3 linked regions of the Caenorhabditis elegans genome follow. The main gene of each other region encodes a partner of the protein of the gene in region 2 in a complex. Each region holds a gene or a part of one and is shown on either strand. Other genes may lie near its edges.

The links.
Region 1: arx-6 (region 2) and C46H11.3 share a complex: the UniProt entries of both Caenorhabditis elegans proteins name them as parts of the arp2/3 complex.
Region 3: arx-6 (region 2) and arx-1 share a complex: the UniProt entries of both Caenorhabditis elegans proteins name them as parts of the arp2/3 complex.

The regions. Positions count from the first base shown.
Region 1 is NC_003279.8:5,039,441-5,042,745, forward strand, and holds C46H11.3 (putative actin-related protein 2/3 complex subunit 5), read left to right. Parts: upstream 1-1,929; 5' UTR 1,930-2,051; coding exon 2,052-2,124; intron 2,125-2,203; coding exon 2,204-2,319; intron 2,320-2,363; coding exon 2,364-2,615; 3' UTR 2,616-2,652; downstream 2,653-3,305. Other genes in the region: lfe-2 (Inositol-trisphosphate 3-kinase homolog), read left to right, coding at 149-499, 1,230-1,325; C46H11.7 (ShKT domain-containing protein), read right to left, coding at 2,755-2,894, 2,941-3,305. UniProt on the Caenorhabditis elegans protein: Functions as a component of the Arp2/3 complex which is involved in regulation of actin polymerization and together with an activating nucleation-promoting factor (NPF) mediates the formation of branched actin networks.
Region 2 is NC_003281.10:4,877,111-4,880,275, forward strand, and holds arx-6 (putative actin-related protein 2/3 complex subunit 4), read left to right. Parts: upstream 1-1,547; 5' UTR 1,548-1,552; coding exon 1,553-1,663; intron 1,664-1,803; coding exon 1,804-2,023; intron 2,024-2,068; coding exon 2,069-2,169; intron 2,170-2,214; coding exon 2,215-2,292; 3' UTR 2,293-2,533; downstream 2,534-3,165. Other genes in the region: Protein tost-1, read right to left, coding at 607-786, 902-1,011, 1,062-1,200; C35D10.1 (ER membrane protein complex subunit 7 homolog), read left to right, coding at 2,637-2,741, 2,964-3,165. UniProt on the Caenorhabditis elegans protein: Functions as actin-binding component of the Arp2/3 complex which is involved in regulation of actin polymerization and together with an activating nucleation-promoting factor (NPF) mediates the formation of branched actin networks.
Region 3 is NC_003279.8:2,890,567-2,895,283, reverse strand, and holds the start of arx-1 (Actin-related protein 3), read left to right. Parts: upstream 1-1,565; 5' UTR 1,566-1,570; coding exon 1,571-1,673; intron 1,674-1,727; coding exon 1,728-1,870; intron 1,871-2,540; coding exon 2,541-2,651; intron 2,652-3,816; coding exon 3,817-3,978; intron 3,979-4,022; coding exon of another isoform or gene 4,023-4,717. Other genes in the region: Y71F9AL.6 (Protein PBN1), read right to left, coding at 4,023-4,717. UniProt on the Caenorhabditis elegans protein: Functions as ATP-binding component of the Arp2/3 complex which is involved in regulation of actin polymerization and together with an activating nucleation-promoting factor (NPF) mediates the formation of branched actin networks.

The sequences.
Region 1 (3,305 bases), on a different chromosome or scaffold from region 2:
TGTACCTGACTTCCGCAGTGCTCAAAGCTTTAATCTTTATAAAACATATGTTTTTCCATCCAATTCATGGGTATATTTAGAATTCTAAATGTTAACATAACAAGTTTTCTTCAAACCCTAAACTCTTCAACATCGCATTTATTTCCAGAGGCTCGAAGGCGCATTGGAGAAAAACTTCAAAAAAGTACGAACAGTTGAAGATGTCACAACTACATTTATGGACTTCTTTGGAACTCAAAGAAGCCGTGTAAGACAACAATTAATTGAACGACTGAAATCAATGCGAAAAGCCATCGAACATTCATCATTCTTCAATTCACATGAAGTCGTCGGAAGCAGTATTCTGATTGTTTTTGATACGGAAAAAGTGGGATGCTGGATGATTGACTTTGCAAAGAGTTCACCGGTTCCTAATGGACGAACACTAAACCATCGGACGACGTGGATACCTGGGAATAATGAAGATGGGTATTTGATAGGAATCGATAATTTAGTCAAGGTAAGCTTGGTTTTCTTAGAATTTTTTATTTAAATATTATTAATGTAGCACCTTACTATTAAACTCAGTTGCCTTTTGTCCTATACAAAAATTGTTAACGGAAAAATATTGGAAAGTGTTTCATATTGTTTTAAAATTTTTTAAAGCAAAAATAAAGTAGTGGGATTTAATACTATTAGAGAATATTCGGTAACTAATATAGATAAGAGGTGCGGAAAATCAATTTATATATTTTCAAATTCTTGACACTATATTTATTTTTCTTTTGAATTTGAGTTTATTTAACTAAAAGAAGAGAAATAAACAAATAAAACGAGACGAACCCTAAAAGAGTTCAACTCGAGTAAAAGTTACATAAAAAAAGAAAGAAAAGATAATAGGGAACAGGTGAAACGGGGAGAAAAACGAGAATGGAGGTAAAAGTGTAGTTATAACCGGGGGATGTTGAGATCAATAAATTCACAGAACTGATATGGGGACATAAAAACCGTAACATTTTTGAATAAATTGGAAAAAATATTGGAAAGTGTTTCATATTGTTTTAAAATTTTTTAAAGCAAAAATAAAGTAGTGGGATTTAATACTATTAGAGAATATTCGGTAACTAATATAGATAAGAGGTGCGGAAAATCAATTTATATATTTTCAAATTCTTGACACTATATTTATTTTTCTTCTCATAAATTTTAAATGTTACCAAGTAGTTGAATTATAATTCAAATATTTTCAGATTCTCGAAGAACTCCCCGAGTACGGAGAACATCCTGATGACCAGTTAATGGTCACAGAGGAAGTGATTGCCAGAATGAAAAATACGAAATCGTAGAAGCTTCTACCTCCTTGGATTACTGTAGATAGATGAAAGTGTGTGTCTCTTCATATTCCGCCATAATAATTTCTGTGATTCCCCACCGCTCCTCCACAAAATCCTCATCCGTGTACAATTTGCTATTATTCAATTTTACACCCCCTCCAGCCAGTCCTTGTTTTTGTTGGTTTTTTGAAAAAGAAAATAGATTTTTTGAAAAAGAAAATAGATTTTCACTTTTTAATCTATCGCTTTCCCCTTCTCTTTTCCTTTACCATGGCATAATCCCTAGACTTTCTTCTTACTTTCAGTTGTTTTTTTTGTTCCATTGTGTACGATCCGAGTAATGGATTAATTGATTGGGTACAATTTGTATATTTTTATTCTCAAATGAAGAGAAATTTTTGAAATGTCCAGTTGCAATTTAGATCCAAACAACAATCTATTGAAGTCTTTGCTTTAAAAGCTAGAGCAGGTGCAATTGTTCCCAGTGCATATCGGCCGATTGCCTAGTGAAAAGTACTAGGCAAAACAAAAAACTTATGGCAATTATTTGGGGATTAAAAGAAAATTGTTCAGAAACAAGAATCTATGAAATTTGGTATGCAGCAGAACAAACGTTTTCGAATTTCACAAAAGAGTGGACAATTGGTGCTCTTATTCAAAATTTCAAAGAGACTTCAAAAAAGCTTTCTTATATCATTTTTTAGGTTTTCATTCAGAAATGTTTTTCTATTGTAGATAATGTACAACACTGACTATAAAAAGTACAATGTTGATATTTTTCATCCAGCTCATTTTGAAGATATTCAGGAAGGTTAGTCAATCTGAATTCAATAATTAATTTTTGAATAAATAATAATATTTCAATAAATAATTTTTGAAAATTTTTTCAGAATCTGCAGATTGTGGGCCAAATGTGCAAGAGGTTCGGCAATTTCTGGAGTCAAATCGACTTGAATATGCTCTTCAATCCGTTCTCTTAAACCCACCATTTGGTCATTCTGAACAGGTTTTATTTTTTAATGTCATTTTGCAAACCTCTTTCCCTTTTAGGAACTCAAGAACCGTGCTGTTCTCCTTGTGGCCGAGGTTATTCATGCATTTCGACAGACCGATATTGAAGAATCAGTTCACAAGCTGTCAAATGAAAATGGAGACATTCTGATGAAGTATATTTACAAAGCAATGCAACTATGCTCTGATTCTGCCACGTGTCTTTCTCTACTATTGTGGCATTCTCAATTGGTATCAAAATTTGGGCAGGGATCCATTGTTCGAGTGTTGTCCAATCGACAACGTCTCTAATTTTTTAATGAAGGTACATGTATCTGTTAATTTCTGCAATAAAACTCCAAGATCCAAAGTTTTTTATATGAAGAAGTTCAAATTTACAACAACCAAATATATTAGGAAATAAATAAAATGATTCAAGAAAAAATGAAGATTATCCAGAAGTGCAGAATCCGCAAGTGAGTGGGCATTGAGCTCTCATAAGGGTTGCGTAGGCAGAATTGGTACAGAATGCACGACGGTTTGGACAATCGGAGACTCCTGTAGCTGCGTTGACTTGGTCAACACAGGTGGCTGAAAAGTTCAGACATGGAACGTTATGAACAATTATTAATCTTACTTGAAGCTGTTGTGGAGGAAGATGAAGTTACGGTAGAGCTTGAGTTACATCTTCCACAAGTTCTTGGGCATTGTTGAGTCATGACGGCATAGTAGACTGAATCATTGCACAAAGAAGCTCGTGCAGTACAATCAGAAACTCCGGTGGATGGGTTTACAAGATCGGCACAGCTAGTGGAGCTTGTGGTAGTTGAGTTACAACGACCGCATGTTCTTGGACATTGTTGAGTCATGACTGTGTAGTAGGTGGTGTCGTTGCAAAGATAGGCAAGTGCTGGACAATCAGAGACCCCGGTAGATGGATTGAGGCGATCAGCACACGAAGTTGTAGAGGTTGAGGTTACTGTAACTGCTGAAGCAGTTGTG
Region 2 (3,165 bases):
TCCGGTAGTAGTAGTTTACATATCAGGATTTTCAACACTTTTGTATTCCGACACTATTCCACTGGAAAATTCACTTATTGTGCATTTTTGGCAAAATTCTACAAGTTTCAAGGGAGACGCGCTTATACAAAAGGGTCTCGCCGCGGGAATCGTATTTATTAAAGATACTTGGTTTAAATGTCTTCTTACGTTAACAGAAGATTATTTTTAATATGTTTTTCTCGCGGCGAGACCCCTACACACATATGCTCTGTCCTTTGAACTTAAATGTTACTCTTTTCGTTTCAATACCAAATGCGCAATAAATCCCGCATTGAAGCATAGCGTTCTCCCATTACTTCTGCTCCCATTTCAGTTATTTTTTATGCCAATCTTGAAATTATTGCGTGCTCAAACGAAAATCAAACAAGCACTTACTTTGAACGATTTACTTATCGAAGGAATACCACAGAAAATCGTAGGATAAGATTATGAAAATTTGCACTGAAGTTCATGGGTGTGGGAAAACGAGGGAAATTATAACACTTAAAGAAGAAAAGGGCTGCTCAAAAATTGTGAGAAAAATACATAAATTTTGGAAAATGAATTTTGCAATTTATGGAAAAATTAAACGGATTGAAGAATGCTTCTGGTGATTTCTTGAATGTAGATATCCGAGCTGGTGAGCTTCTTCTCATCAGTAGAGGACGGCTTCAAAACAGCTTTCTTGGTCGGTGCATTCTCCTTGTCCTCCTCTTCGAAAACTTTCTCCGGTGAATTGACAATTGGATTTTTTGCGAGATAGTTCTGAAACATAACCAGGTTCTCATAAAATCTCAAAGTTTCATTTTTTAAGGAAAACATTAAGAGTTGTGTTAATATCAGTGCTTTGATTAAAAGTTCGAATAGTCTAAATAATTACCTCCACAAATTCCTTTTTCGAATTCAAGTTCCGGTCGTGAACGACAAAGAAGACATCAGAATCGTTTTTGACAGTCTCTGGCTCAGTGGCTTGAATAGTGTACCCCTTTTCTGGAAGACAACTATGTTATTATGATTCAAAAATGCTTGAAAACATTTACCGAGAACTCCGAAGCGCTCATTCAATGTGATTCGTTTATTTGTCGCAGTTTTGTACTTGTTTTCCAGAATCGACGCCACTTTGTTGCTGTGCTCACGGTCAGCTAAAGGAATAACTTGATATTGGATGGCAGTAGTCATTCTGAAAGGTTTAAATTTTTAAATTTTACTGAAAACGCAAAATATTTTGCAAAATGGGAAAGTGGAATGATTGAAAATCAGAAAATTAATTTTAAAATTGACAATTTTTAAAAGAATGGATGATAAATTTGTCTTCGCGCGCTACTCGAAACAAAAAGTGCAGCGGAGCGTGTTTGCATTACTTTCAAAACGACGCAAATAATGATTCATTTTCGGATTATCGACTCCAATTTTACGATTTTCGCCGGTATTTCATGTTTTATTTTGTTCCATGCAATCTTTTTTCACTTCTAAATAATGTCTCAAACTGTTTCGTCAATAAAAAAATCAATAAGCATGCGCATTGCAGGTAATGAGCGCAACACTCCAACCATATCTGGAGGCCGTGCGTCACACGCTCCAGGCAGCTCTCTGTCTTGAGCAATTCAGTTCGCAGGTGGTCGAGAGACACAACAAACCAGAAGTAAGATTTATAACAGTAAAATGACTTGCAAAGTGTGAAGATTGAATAATTTAAATCAGTCCGCCGCCAATTGCAATAGTTTTTCGCTCAAAAACTATTTAAATGTATTATTCTATTTGTATATTATAATAAAATTGTAGGTGGAAGTTCAAACATCGAAAGAACTGCTCATGACGCCAGTTGTTGTTGCTCGAAACAAACAGGAACGAGTACTCATCGAACCCTCCGTCAATTCTGTCAGAATATCAATCGCCATCAAACAATCCGACGAAATCGAGAAGATTCTGTGCCACAAGTTCACTCGATTCATGTGCCAAAGAGCCGATAACTTCTTTGTGCTCCGTCGCAAGCCACTGCCAGGTCAGAATTAATACTAATATTCAGAGATTAAAGCGATAATTTTAGGTTATGACATCTCGTTCCTCATCACAGCATCTCACACAGAAGCAATGTTCAAGCACAAACTTGTCGACTTTTTGCTTCATTTTATGCAGGAAATTGATAAGGTGAACATTTTAAGTTAATTTTTAAAAAATTCCATAAATTTCCAGGAAATTTCCGAGATGAAGCTGTCTCTCAACGCCCGTGCCCGTGTTTCTGCTGAAGAATTTTTGAAGCGTTTCAATTAATTTTCTCCCCATGATTCCCAATTCATTTTTCTCATTTTCACTCAAATTCCGAAGACTTTAAACTATTATGTGAACACGGTTTTTTGATCAATTTGTGTAAATATCATCTTTATTCTCAATTTTTTCACTTTTTGTTTCTGAAAATGACTCCCCTCCCAAAAATTTCCTGTTTTAGGTCCTATTTTGCCTTTTTGATTATCGATTTTTTTTACCGCACACTGACTTTATGAATTATTTATTCAATTTTTGCAATATGTATGATCTGAAATATCTCGTGAAACATTTACGAGCTTTAATATTTTAAAATGATTATTAAGTTGGAAATTGACAAATCAATTTCAGAAATGAAGTCTATTCTACTTTTATTCTCCCTGATAGTGCTCGGCAGTGCAACAGAAGAAGTGAGCAGAACTGAGCAAACATCGACATTATTCTCCGTCGAAGGCGAGGTTCGTATACCAAAAATGTTTGATTTTTGGATTAAAAATATCGATCATTTTGGCTATATTCATAGAGAAGTCATATTATAAATTAAGACAACGTTTATATGCTTCTGAATACTTTTTCCAGTTCTCACATTTTTTAAAATTTTATCTTCTAGGTTCCTATTCTAATAACAACAAATTCGTTGTAAATTAAATATTTCATAGTCCTCAAAAAAAAAATTTCAGATCGCACTTCCATCTACTCGAAATTGTGCAAAATGGTCCGCAGGTGCTCGTATTCATTTGAACCATGGCCAATATATGGGATTTGTTCGTCAAGATTGTACATTCCGTGTTGATTTCGTGCCTACTGGAACCTATATTGTTCAAATCGAAAATACAGATTTTGTCTTTGAGCCAATTCGCGTTGATATCACATCAAAAGGAA
Region 3 (4,717 bases), on a different chromosome or scaffold from region 2:
AGTAATTTACATGGAGAAATTTGCTCGAAAAAATTCAAAAAAAATACAGTAAGAAAATTGTCGTAAAGTCTAGGGTTTTGGTATTGCGGACTACGACAAAATGCACACAAACCATTTTGGCACCGGAAAAAGGCAAAAGCCAGGATTTTATCGCGTTTTGGCTCATTTTTCTTGCAAATTTCCATGGAATTCAGTTAACATATACCTAATTATTCAGTTATTTCGAATTAATCAATAATTTTCAGTGAATTTCGCAATTTCTAAGTGGTCCAATGATGTCTGTCCACATATTTCCTTGAAAACTGATTGTTTTATCGGAATTTATTGATTTAAAATAATATATATAATAAAATCTGAATTTTAGAATCATTTTTGACGTGGAAAAGACCCGAAAAATCCAAAAATCACGAATAAACTGAACAATTAAGGTATTAATTTTTGATCCCCCACCCCCAGTTTCTCAGTTTCTCAGCAAAGGATTAAAACAATTGTTCTTCTTCTTTTCCCCCTACAAGAATTTCCTGTGAATTTCAATCGTAAAAATATCGATTTTCTGTTTATTCTTTGGATGAGTCACCGCACTCGCCGATTGTTTAACTAGTGCAGTTCGGCAGTTTTACGTTATTTTTTCACGATTTTTTGGATTCTGATCCTCTAGGTGACTTGAAAATACCGAATTTCATATCGTAATATGACAGAAAAATTTATGGCGGTAAAAAAATGCGGAAAAATTTTCTAATTTTAACGGAAAACTCCAAAAAGCCGTTGGAAAATGATTTTTATTTGATATTGGCATATTTAAATAATTTTTATCCTGTTTTTTAGTGGATTTGGATATTTTAACCCGATAGTTATGTATAACGGCTTAAAAATTGCCAAAATCAGCGAAAAAACGCGAGAAAAATCACTTAAATATGGAAAATAGAACAATAATCAAATAAACCCGATTATCCAAGCCAAAACTGAGTTTTTTTTTTCGCATTTTTGAACTTCAAAATTTCGAAAAAATGGGCTATTTTTAACGAAAATCCCCAATTTTGCAATTTTTTCGTGTCACAGCCGTCGGAAATTGATTTTTATTTGATTTTTGACACATTTGAGTGATTTTATCCTTTTTTTTTCGTGGATTTAGGTACTTTTAGCCGATAGTTACGTATTGCTAAAATACTGGCTTAATAAGTAGCTAAATCGACGAAAAAATATGTTTTAAAAAACCAAAAATGGCAAAATTTTACGATTTTTGCTAAATCTTTTTTTTTTTTGAAATTTTAAATCGTCATAAAATTATTTAGCTAAATTTTTGTTAAACATTTCAGCGAAAAACTCCATTTTTGCCAATTTTTTGTGTCACAGCGGTTGAAAATTGCGTTAATTTAGGTATATTTGAAGCCAAAAAAGGAACAAAATTAATTTATTTGCAAAATTATCAATTTCCGGCTTAAAAACGCTCCAAGATTGGAGATTTCAGCGGAAATTAGCCCATTTTTTCGAATTTCTAAACCGCTAGACTGAAATTCCGTCTTTTTCTCCCATTTAAAACAAAAAAAATCCCAAATTTTTTGCAGCAAGCATGTCGGCCCATCAACTACCGGCATGTGTGATCGACAATGGAACGGGTTATACGAAGCTCGGATATGCTGGGAACACGGAACCTCAGTTTATTATTCCATCTGGTTAGATTTATTGATTTTCAGCCTATTTTTCATAAAATCCAGTGAATTTTCCAGCAATTGCCGTGAAGGACAAGGTGGCGAGCTCGAATTCGCAGGCGATGCGCTGGAATAACCGAGTCGGAGCCGGGATAGACGATCTTGATTTCTTTATTGGAGATGAAGCTTTGTCGCCGGCCGCTACGAATTATACTGTCAAAGTTCGTAGTTAATAGACCATATTTATGCTCCTGATGTCAAATATCAATGTGAAATTTTTTTTTTTAATTCCCAGATTTTATATAATTTTTTAAAATCCAAAAATCCTAATTTTAAATTTAAACGACAAAATTTTGCATGATAACCGTGCCGCAGGTGTGGATTTACGAGATTAATATTTTTAATTCATTTTTATTTAATTTTCACACCGATTTTCCCGTTTTTTCGTTGTTATACATTGAAATTCTTGGGATTTTCATAAATTTATTCATAAATTTACTTTTTATTAATGAAAACAAATTAAATTACAAGAAATATCGAACTTTTGCTGAAAAAATCGAATATTTCACGTATTTTTGTTGTTTTCATTAATAAAAAGTCATAAATTAATGGAAATCATGATAATTTTAATGTAAAACAAGGAAAAATCGGGAAAATCGGTGTGAAAATTAAATAAAAATGAATGAAAAATATTAGTCTCGTAAATCCACACATGCGGCACGGTTATCATGCAAAATTTGTCGTTTCTGAATTTAACATTTTGGACTTTTGGATTAAAAAAAATATAATTTTTTATAAAATCGGGAATTTTATTTTTTGAATTTTTCACATTGATATTAGGTATCAGGAGCATATGGAAAAAATGTTTAAAATTAAAATTAAATTTTTTAGTATCCAATTCGGCATGGAATCGTCGAAGACTGGGATCTTATGGAACGATACTGGGAGCAGTGCATTTTCAAATACTTGAGAGCCGAGCCAGAGGATCATTTCTTCCTTTTGGTACGGGAGAGAAGCAGAAAATTCGGGAAAAAATGCTCTGGAACAATATTTTGGCCACTTTTAAAAGAAAAGGGGGTCGAAAATCCGTTTTTTTAATAGAAAATATCCTGTAAAATGGATGTAAATCGGTGAAAAGCTATATATTACAGAAAAAACACGTGAAAAGTGATAAATTTCGATGAAAAAAGCTTAAAAATCACGAAATTTTGCAATTTTTGACTCTAAAATTACGGTATCCGGTCTTGACAGGACAATTTTTTTGGAAATAAAGCATGTGATACCAATTTAAAAAATACGTAAAAATTTTGAAAAAAACGGGAGAAAAATCAAGGAATTTCCCCCGAAAACTCCGGTATTTTTAAGCTTTATTAATTAAAATTAATTAAATGAAAAATCTACATTTTTTCAAAAAAATAGCAAAAAAAATTTTTTTTCGTATTAAAATCCTAATTTTATAGGAAAAGCTGTTTTTTTGAAGATATGGCTTTAATTTTCTATTTAAAAAATCGTTTTTTTTTTCTGGAAATTTACAAAATTTTGTTTCTAATTTTTTTTAAAGTAAGGGTCCCGCCACGATCTACCTGAGCTTCAACTTTCAGGCTTAAAGTTGGTGTAGTCGAATTTTTTTTTTGCTTTATTAGAATCAAAATTGTCTAAAAACACCGAATTTCATAATGAAACTTCTTGAAAAAAAACAGTTATGACGGTTCAAAAAATCGGCTAAAATTAGTTAAAATTTGAAATTTGGCCTTTTGAAATTACCGTCAAATTTTAGATATATAAGTTTATTATCGTGCGTTTTCAACTCGATTTAGGTATTTTAAAGTCGGTGGACTTGGAGATTTGGTAATAAAAATTTAAAAATCTCCAAGTCCACCGGCTTTAAAATACCTAAATCGAGTTGAAAACGCACAATAATCAACTTATATATCTAAAATTTGACGGTAATTTCAAAAGGCCAAATTTCAAATTTTAACTGTTTTAGGCCATTTTTTTGGAGCCGCCATAACTTTTTTTTTGAGAAGTTTTCAATTCATTATGAAATTCGGTGTTTTCAGACAATTTTTGAGTCTAATAAAGCAATTTTTTTTTTAAAAATCGACTACACCACCTTTAAATAGCGAATATTAGGCAGTTTTCCACGAAAAAATTTGAAAATTTCCAGACGGAACCACCACTCAACACTCCGGAAAACCGAGAATATACTGCTGAAATTATGTTCGAGTCGTTCAACGTGCCAGGCTTGTACATAGCCGTTCAGGCCGTCCTAGCGTTGACTGCCAGCTGGAATTCCAGAGAAGCCAACGAGCGAAGCTTGACTGGATTGGTAGGAAATTTTTTCGCTTTTGAGAAAAAAAAATTTTTATTATTTTATTTGTCACTTATTAAATAGCCAAAAATGCAAATTAATACCAGCAAAAACATGAAAAATATAATGAAAAACGACAATTTACACATTCCCGACAATGATGGATACTTGTTCCCGTCTACTTCGGCTTCTCCTGCAACTGCAAAAAAATCGAATTGCTCCTCACCATCAAGCGCTCCGAATCCCAAAATATCCTCATCGAAACTCGAAACCTCGCGGAGCAACACAGGCAGCTCTTGCAGCCAGAAACTTCCAGTTTTCCGTGGATCTTGCTCCAAATGCGTCAGAAATAGATGCCAAATTTGGCGGAATCTCTCCTTTTCGGCTTGTCGGCGGTTCGCATTTTCTAGCTGCTCATGATCTTCGGCTTCAGCGTGGAAAGCGGTTCTGAGTGCTTCTTCGTCGATTTTCGGGATGTACGCAGAAATTGCCATGTCGAGTAGAGAGTGTGGGAGACTGAGAGGGACAGGGAGAGATGACGTGGATTCTGGTGTACCGACGACGATCGATAATGTTTTCGAGGTACCTGTGTACCATCTGCCGTCTCTGCTAGCAATTGCATAACACGCAAGAAAAACGCCAAAAATAATGTATAACGTATTTATTATATGAATATGGTAGATTTGGTATATATGATGTATATGATATATGGGAGATTTGGTATATGTGTATATATGGTATATATAATATATATGAT